Linked DNA regions of Macaca fascicularis. The protein of the gene in region 2 purifies or fractionates together with the protein of the main gene of each other region. This does not show direct contact. Links are inferred from orthologs where the notes say so. Each region holds a gene or a part of one and is shown on either strand. Other genes may lie near its edges. The genes, in order: NBAS and BNIP1.

Region 1 (4,286 bases), on a different chromosome or scaffold from region 2:
TGCTGTGCAGCCTGGTTCCTAACAGACCACAGACTGGTACCAGTCCACGGCCCAGGAACTGGGGACACCTGTTCTAGAATACACCCATAATGGTTAAACCAAGGCTATATACTTTAAACTGCATTAAAAATGTGCATGTGTAAATATACAAATGTATACATATACATACATGTGTCTATATATATATATAATTAAACTCAGATAACACGTCACTTTTATTAGTCTCCACACCAGAAGTCTAAAGAACACATTTTAACTGTTAACCATATCATTACTGTAGAGAAATAAGCTATATTTACCTCGAATTGCTTTCGTGATGATAAAGGATGCACCATGCTTTCGGTTGCCTCTAGGCTGGAATTTAAAACAAAGCCCTTACATTTGAATCCTCTAGTATTAGACTAGTATTGCTTATACAATGTAAACTTATTTTTATTTACTAATATCCAGAGTTTTGGGCACAGGGAAGCAGTGTCTTAAAACTACTTAAAGACTGAATGTGCAGGTGCAGTGGCTCACGCTTGTAATCCCAGCACTTTGGGACGCCAAAGTGGGCCAACTGCTTGAGCCCAGGAACTCCAGACCAGCTTGAGCAACATGGCAAAACCTCGTCTCTACAAAAAATACAAAAATTAGCCAGGCAAGACGGTGCGTGCCTATAGTCCCAGCTACTTGGGAAGCTGAGGTGACCTGGGAGGTTGAAGCTACAGTGAGCCCTGATCATGCCACTGCACTCCAGCCTGGGTGACAGAGTGAGACCCTGTCTCAAAAAAAAAGAAAAAGGTAGACTCAGGATGGGGGACAATAGGAGTAAAGGGAGCATAGCAGAGCTACAGGCACATGTCAGGACTAACCTTGCAGGTAAGAACAAAGATTGAAGCTAGAAACTGTTTCCAAATCAAATACCAATCCAAAGACAAGAGAAGTCAAGGCCAAAGACCACACTGGTTGCCAATTCAGCACACTCTATTGAAGCTGTAAGTTTTGCTCACAGGAAAAGTGGTCATATCTCCAAGGCAAATTCATTGACTATCTGTTGTATATCCATCCAGACAATGCTACTAACAAAACATACAGCGATATGTAATTGCTATATTAAATAATTCCATTCCATAAGTATAGACTGAACACACTGTGGGTAGGTTCATGACACTAGGCACTGCATAAGGTGCACTACAGTGCTGTCAAGAAAAGCACAATGGACACACAGTAAGTGTAGACAGATTTTTTAAAAAACAGAAAAGTTATTTCACTCAACAAACAAGAATTGATGGTGGGATTCATGCAAGGCACAATTTGGCCCTGGGGAGAGATATAAAGATGAATCAGATGTAGCTGCCCTCCGAGAGCTTATAGTTCAACAGCTGAAATCAATAGAATGCAGAAATCGATAGAATGCAGAAATCAATAGAATTCCCCCACCCCCAACACATAAACACAAAACAAAGTGCTAAGGGTTTCAAAGTAAGTTAATTCTGTGGTTACTTTTTTGGAATCAATTTATGCTAAGCATTCTGAAACATTACTGCAATTAACCAATGAGTGTTAAGGAGTGGAAACTTATCTAACCAGCTGCCGCAGCAACAGCTTCCTAGCTGCATAACCCAAAAAATATTCACATTAAGACAAATTAAGCACTTGAAATTAAACGGCAAAACATGCAGATCTCTACCCGTTCTACAAAATACATTATTCAAAATAAGCACAAACTGCAGTGGGAAGGAGGCTATAGGGGAAAAAAATACAAACTTTAGGCTGAAAAATGAGTCGTTTCTCCAGCAAAGAAACACTCATAAAAAAATGTAAGATAACTCATATGGGCTGGACTACATAATCTTTAATAAAGGTTCTTTTCGATCTGGCTGCTTCCTCTGGGTCCAAAACAGTAACTGGCATTTGTTAAGCACTCAATAAATATCTATTAAATAAACATGGATCCGTGGTTCCTACTCTTCACCACAGACCCGGGAGGCCCTCACTACCAAATAACTGATAATCCCAAGATCCAGTCTATAAATTATCAACCTCTATAATCCTTCTCTAGCGGAGATCCCAATCCCAGTCAGCAGTTCTTTACCCTTCACTTCCGTGGCATTTTGCTCACATCGCTAACTATAGCGCATAAAACGCGAGATTATGAATAACGTTTACAGGATTGCCTCCCCTCTAGAGGAGAAGCTCCACGAAAGCATATTTATCTCTGTATCCTCAGCACCTAGCACAGCATCTGGGACACCGAGACGGACGAACGGACACGCACACCCTTATTAAATGCTCTTTTATTGTTACACACAAGAACTGGCGCGATCCAGCCCCAGGTAGCTGTAAAGGCTCAGATTCCGCACTCTGCAGCAGCCTGCCAGATGCTGAAGACTGTAAGGTCCTGGAAAATTCTCACACCGTTAAGCGTCCGCCCGTACTAGCCCTAGCCAGACTGCGAGAAGGGACCACCGAGAGTCCAGGTAGGAGAAAGGACCCTTTAGTCCAGCGCTGTGCCTTCCCCTCCGAATACAGAGAGTGAAACTAACAATCTGCACCCCTCCGAAAACAGAGAGAAACTAACAACCAGAGTGGGATCCTACGCTCCGCAGAACACGAAGTTCCAGCCCCCAAAAACCGAATTCTGAGCCCAGGAGGAATCTCAGGGACCACGACCCCACCCCGCCTTAGGAGCCCCAGACCCCCGGTAGCCCAAGGTGCCGTTGCCAGGGCGACCACACAAGCCATCAGGCCCCCCGCCCACCCGGCTTCACTCCCCTACGTGGCTCCTGCTACGTGGCTCTGCCCACGAAGCGCCCGCGTCAAGTTGGCTGCTGCTGTAGACGGGCCTGGTTCACCTGTACTTCAGTCTCCGGTGGCCACTCGGTGTTGACCAACAAGTCATAGAGAATCGTCTCCTCCTCACCCTCTGCAGCGCTTGGACTCAAAGCCGGCCCTGACTCGGAGGCCGCCATGTTCGCCCGGGACTCAAGCAGTGGAGGAGCGCCTCTACGGAATCCCTCACAGGACAAGCTTCCCTAGCCGCGGCCGCTTTTGATTCACGGGGAAGGGAGTGGAGTGAACTGACCCTGACCGCGGCAAGGAAATGCTAGGTTAACCCTTTTATGAGTAGGAAGGACAAGGACTATTGCTTGTCTTGGGAACGACTTGTGTCCCGGTCCTGGTGCGTTCCTTGTTAATTAATCTACGTGACATCAGCCAAGTCACTGAGCCTGTCTTATCAAGTCAGTTTCTATAAAACAGAAACGGTAAAGGTACCCCACTGAAATGCTAATGTTCATTTGTGTATTCTTTGCCTAGCACGTAGAGAGAGTTCAAACAGTGGTTTTAAAATAAGCCACCAAAGTTATCCAATGCAGGGGATCAAGCCAATGAAAGGTAACAGAGGAAGCATGCTACGGGCGCTCAGAAAAGGCAACGAAGGCCAGAGTCTGCAGGGATTTCCTGGAGGACGTGGAGCTTGTCCCTAGGTCTTTAACAACTGGCAGAATGTTAATCCACTGGAGAAGCATTTCAAGTAGGGGGAAATGGGATGAGCAGAGACAGAGGCAAAAGTACAGAGTTGAAAGAACTCTTTCAACGTGTCGCGAGTGAGCGACGACTTTCTGGGTGTGGGAGTAAAAGAATTTACCAAGACAGTAGTAGATAAAAAAAGACAGATTAAAGAAAGTATGAAAGATCGTTGCCAGGGAACAGCGCGCAGAATCAGCAGAGGAGGAGCTCATTGCTAGGAAACAAAGGCTTGTTGAGAATTTTATAGACTGGAACTTGGAGTGATTGATAACACCAAGTTAGCAGGGAGTTAACTTGCTTTTTTTTCCTTTTTTTTTTTTTTTTTTGTCAACCGAAGTGTTTGATAAATAGAGGCGTTTGAAGGTAAGCAGGAAGTTTGTGAGTTAAGTACGTTATCTGGTTAGAAGAGCCATATGTCTTGGGCCATAAAGAAAAGTAGACCTATGGCTTATTTGTTTCTTCCTTTTGTTTATATGTTTTGGACCATGAAGAAAGGCAGATGTATAGCTTATGCTTACTTGCCTTATCTCTTTGTTTTTTCCTGCTCCCACTAGCCTGCCTTTTTTTTTTTTTTTTTTTTTTTTTCTTTTCCTAATTAGTACTCAACAAGACAGGTGAATAGAACCCAAGTTGAGAAAGGGTGTAGGGGCAATAAAGTTTAAATAATAGGTTGAGAACCTGCATGGAGGGAGCGAAAAGGTCAACCCCATTTGTTCATTCATTCATTCATTCCACAAATACCTCTTTGTGGACAGTTATAAGCAGAGCCTATT
Region 2 (4,287 bases):
ATACCTTACGAGAGGGTGTGTAGAGGCCTGTAGGAACACAGACAAGCACAGAGCCCTGCTTACAACAGGTGGGAGCCATATTGATTTTTTGGGGAAAAGATGGCTTTCAGTAGAGGCTGTGCCACTTTCAAGATAGGTAATCTTGCGACAGGGTTGATTGGTGGTTATTTTAATCTACTTTCAGCTCATCTCCTGAAGTGTGATACTAGTGTAGTGCAATTTCAAGGGTGGTTGTGAGGATTAAGAGAGATGAACATTCAGGTCCTAAGCATTTAGGTCCTCACAATCTATTCTTGCTGAAGTGACCTGAACAAAAGCAGATGGAGTGGGGTCGAGTCGGGGAAAAGCTTTCCAGGGAGAGGGAACACCACATTCTAAGGCTACACATCCAGAAAGAGCTTGAGCAATCCAGGAAGGGTGCAGGGTGGGGTGGCTGATGACCTTGAGGACCAGCTAAGAAACTTGGATTATTTACTAACAAAAATAAAAGAGCCACCATTTGTTGAGGGTTTCCTCTGACATTTCCATCAAAACTACGTAAATCCATCAAAACTACGTAAATCCATCAAAACTACCCCAGCAAGGTAGATTTAATAAATCCAGTTGTATACAAAAGGGAACCACCAGAAGCCATAGAAGGGCTGCATACAGGGAGGCGACTTGATCAATTTCGTGTTTTACAAAGATCCCTCAGATCATGTGTTGGAGTGATAGGAAGTACTCTACTGACTCTACTGAACTCCATACTTTAAAAAATACATAACATTTATCATTTTCTCTTTTACTCCACAATTTATACTCACTGTAGAAAATATTAAAAATATAAGAAAGTTTGAAGAAACAAAAAAGTGTCACTTGTACTTTCCAGAGACATCTCAATTGATACTTTTCTTCCAGTCTTTTTTTCTATGCAAAAAATATATAGTTATTAGAATGCCTGACAGAAGGAAGATGGAAAGAGACCACTGTGAAGCATTATTGATATTCCCTCTTCTCTTCCTCTCCATGGTATTAAGGCCATACCAAGAGGAGAGGCTGATTTCCCTACACGTGTCAGGGAAAGTCCCAACTCTGCGGCAGGGACCCAAGCTTGCCATTTTCGCCGGTCTCTAGGGGGCGCTGCCCCGAGACTGGGCGGGGAGGGCGAGAAGGCGGTGCGAAAACGCGTTTGAACTTGGGCCCTGCCGCCGCCCGTAACCGGCGTCCCCAACATGGCGGCTCCCCAAGATGTCCACGTCCGGATCTGTAACCAAGAGATTGTCAAATTTGACCTGGAGGTGAAGGCGCTTATTCAGGTACTGATCCCGGGACCCCTGCCAGGCTCCAGCAGCCCTAACCCAAGCTCTGCTGGTCTGTGAGCTCGGTAGTGTCACTCCCGAACTTTCCCCACTTGGTTTCCCAGGCCACCGGCTCCGCCCCATGACCGGCTACCCGCCCTGGTCCCCATTTGGTTGTATCCCCGTGACTGCTGGCCTTGATCCTTTTTCCGGGTGCCGCCGGATCGCCCATCTCCAGAGCACCCAACTGTTCTCCGCCCCTGACCCAGCTACTGCTTCGAGGCTCGGCTTTGCCACTTCCACTTGCAGTCCTGGTCGTCGCCCCGCCCCTGACCTCCTCACAACCTACCTGCCACCCTGCTTGGCCCCGCCCTCTGACGCTGCTTCCCCATTCTCTGGTAGCGCCCGGTAGGCAGCTAGCCCCGCTCCCTGCTGGCCAGCTCCCCTGGCATCCAAGGGCACCTGGCTCGGGAGGCACCAGGTGAAACGAATGTAACCTGGACCGTAGTTGTGATTTTATGCTTGAGGAAATCGAGTACGGCGCCAAGGCCTAGGTTAGAAGGCAGGCCTGGGTCAATGGCAAAACTGGGACCTGGACTGGGAAAGTCAACCTAGGAATAACACCTTAGAGTGTTACCCCGTTTGAACAGAGAGGAAATGAGGTGTTTTCGCCTTAAGCCATTTAAGGGTAGAGGTAAAATAAACGAGTTGACGTAGACAAGAATTAGGAATGTAGACACGGTTCCATGAGTTTAGCAAAAAGAAACCAAGAGTTTTAAACCTTGTTTTTTTGTTTTGTTTTGTTTTGTTTTTTGTTTTTGTTTGTTTTTGAGACGGAGTCTCGCTCTGTCGCTCAGGCTGGAGCGCAGTGGCGCGATCTACTCACTGCAAGCTCTGCCTCCCGGCTTCATGGCATTCTCCTGCCTCAGCCTCCCGAGTAGCTGGGACTACAGGGGCCCGCCACCACGCCCAGCTCATTTTTGTATTTTGTTTAGTAGAGACGGGGTTTCGCCGTGTTAGCCAGGATGGTCTTGATCTCCTGACTTCGTGATTTGCCCGCCTCGGCCTCCCAAAGTGCTGGGATTACAGGTGTGAACCACTGCGCCCGGCCTAAACCTTGGTTTTTAAAGCAAATCATTTTCAACAAAGTCACTAAACATTAGATGTAGACTCAGAGTTTGTAACGAGGGGTGGCAAAAAGTGCAGGAAAGTAGGGCTCCCCAGATAAACCAGATGCAGAATAAACCAAATTAGATGCAGAATAAACAAATATGGTGCAAAGAAGTGTGATTAAATTAATAACCAGAGAAAAAGTGAAATTTGATGCAGATATTTAAAACTTCTCGAACTTCACTTCTCTGATGTATACATTACAAAACTTCTGGGCCAGTTATAGAAAAATAAACTTAGGTTTCATACAAATGAAATCACATTTTCACATAATCTAAATTGCTTAGGCACCCTTCTGTACTCTTTCTAACATTTGGGTTCTTGTGATTGCTGATGAGAAAGATTGATTATAGCTGGATGTAGTGCACCCTTACTGTGTTCCAGCAGCTCTGCTAAGTGCTTTACATACACACATAATCTATGATGTTCTCTGAGGTAAGTAGGGTTGTGATGAGGAAACTGAGACACAGATAATTTAAATAACTTTCCAGGTAACTTTACACAGCTAATAAGTTGCCACAGCCAGGATTCGAATCCACATGGTCTGTCTCCAGAGCCTGCTCTGAAAACTGGCACCAGTAATTCTGAATGTCCAGCAACAGATTCTAAATCTGCCCTTAAACATGTTTATATAAACACTCTAACTTATCACTGACGGTTTGTAAAATCACACTGAAAAAGTTAATCTCATCATATGAGGCCAGATCTTTAAACATCCTCATCTTACAAGTTGAAAGGATCTAAGGTTCTAAAGTTATAGTATAACTTTCGCATGTCCATTCTTGTTGGGCATATAAGCTGTTTTAAGCTTTTTCATACTGGCCAGGTAATGTTTTGTTAAAATTTAGGCACTAAAAATTAGGTCAAAGCAGTTGTGTTTCTTTCTAGGCTTTTATATTAATTCAACATTAATCTAAAGAGGAATGAGAAAAATGCCAATGATAATGTTTTTGCTTGTGTTGCAGAGGTAAACAGCAAAGATCAGGATGAATTATAGTCAGTATCAGTACATTAATATTAGTTGGTCTAAACCAACTCTCTCACTGTATGGATGGTGTCATTTCATTTCATTGCCTTAAGAAAGGCCTTTCATCTGTTCAATGTCTCCTAGGATATCCGTGATTGTTCAGGACCCTTAAGTGCTCTTACTGAACTGAACACTAAAGTAAAAGAGAAATTTCAACAGTTGCGTCACAGAATACAGGTGGGTATTCTCAGAACTGAGATGCTGAGTATCTATCAATGAAGGGGGCTCAGTCCTGGGTGTATCCTCTGCTTGAGAGCCGTCTGGGTTCTTCAAACACCAGCTGATGGGAGCAGTAAACACTTAAGACAGTGAGGGTGACTCTGTACTAACCTGCTGTCCAGGTAAAAACGAGAAACTTTTGCGTGCAGAACACTGCCAGCTGTGTCAACAAGTGGATGGCAGGAACACCATTATCCTTGGAATTTTTGAAACCCTGAGGCCACTTCAAATACTTTCTCTTCTCTACCTTCTTTCTACCCTATTCATTTGTTCACTACCTCAATCCATCACACTCCTGGGTTTTTTTTTTTTTTTTTTTTTAAATGCTGTTACTTTGCTCAGCATCTTCCTTATTTCAGTAGTCACCAGTCACATCATGTACACATTCAATATGCCTGAATTCAACTGTGGTATATGTGCTGTCTCAGAAAACACTAGAGGGTGACAAGTAGCAGTTTCGTTTGTTTGTTTTATTTATTTCATGTTTTATTCTTATTACACTGGGCTGGGCAAAGGGTTGTGCACCACTGTATAGATCATGTTATTCTGTTGCTTTCATTTTTGAAAATGAAAATGAGGCCAGTAGTTTGAGAA

The links.
Region 1: the proteins of BNIP1 (region 2) and NBAS purify together in Homo sapiens (co-immunoprecipitation; 3 studies listed by BioGRID and IntAct, with this or other methods). This does not show direct contact. The link is inferred for Macaca fascicularis from reciprocal best matches to the Homo sapiens genes BNIP1 and NBAS.

Annotation. Positions count from the first base shown.
Region 1 is NC_088387.1:106,648,214-106,652,499, reverse strand, and holds the start of NBAS (NBAS subunit of NRZ tethering complex), read right to left. Parts: upstream 2,977-4,286; 5' UTR 2,955-2,976; coding exon 2,838-2,954; intron 355-2,837; coding exon 300-354; intron 1-299. UniProt on the Homo sapiens protein: Involved in Golgi-to-endoplasmic reticulum (ER) retrograde transport; the function is proposed to depend on its association in the NRZ complex which is believed to play a role in SNARE assembly at the ER. Required for normal embryonic development.
Region 2 is NC_088380.1:179,966,694-179,970,980, forward strand, and holds the start of BNIP1 (vesicle transport protein SEC20), read left to right. Parts: upstream 1-1,199; 5' UTR 1,200-1,211; coding exon 1,212-1,295; intron 1,296-3,558; coding exon 3,559-3,651; intron 3,652-4,287. UniProt on the Homo sapiens protein: As part of a SNARE complex may be involved in endoplasmic reticulum membranes fusion and be required for the maintenance of endoplasmic reticulum organization. Also plays a role in apoptosis.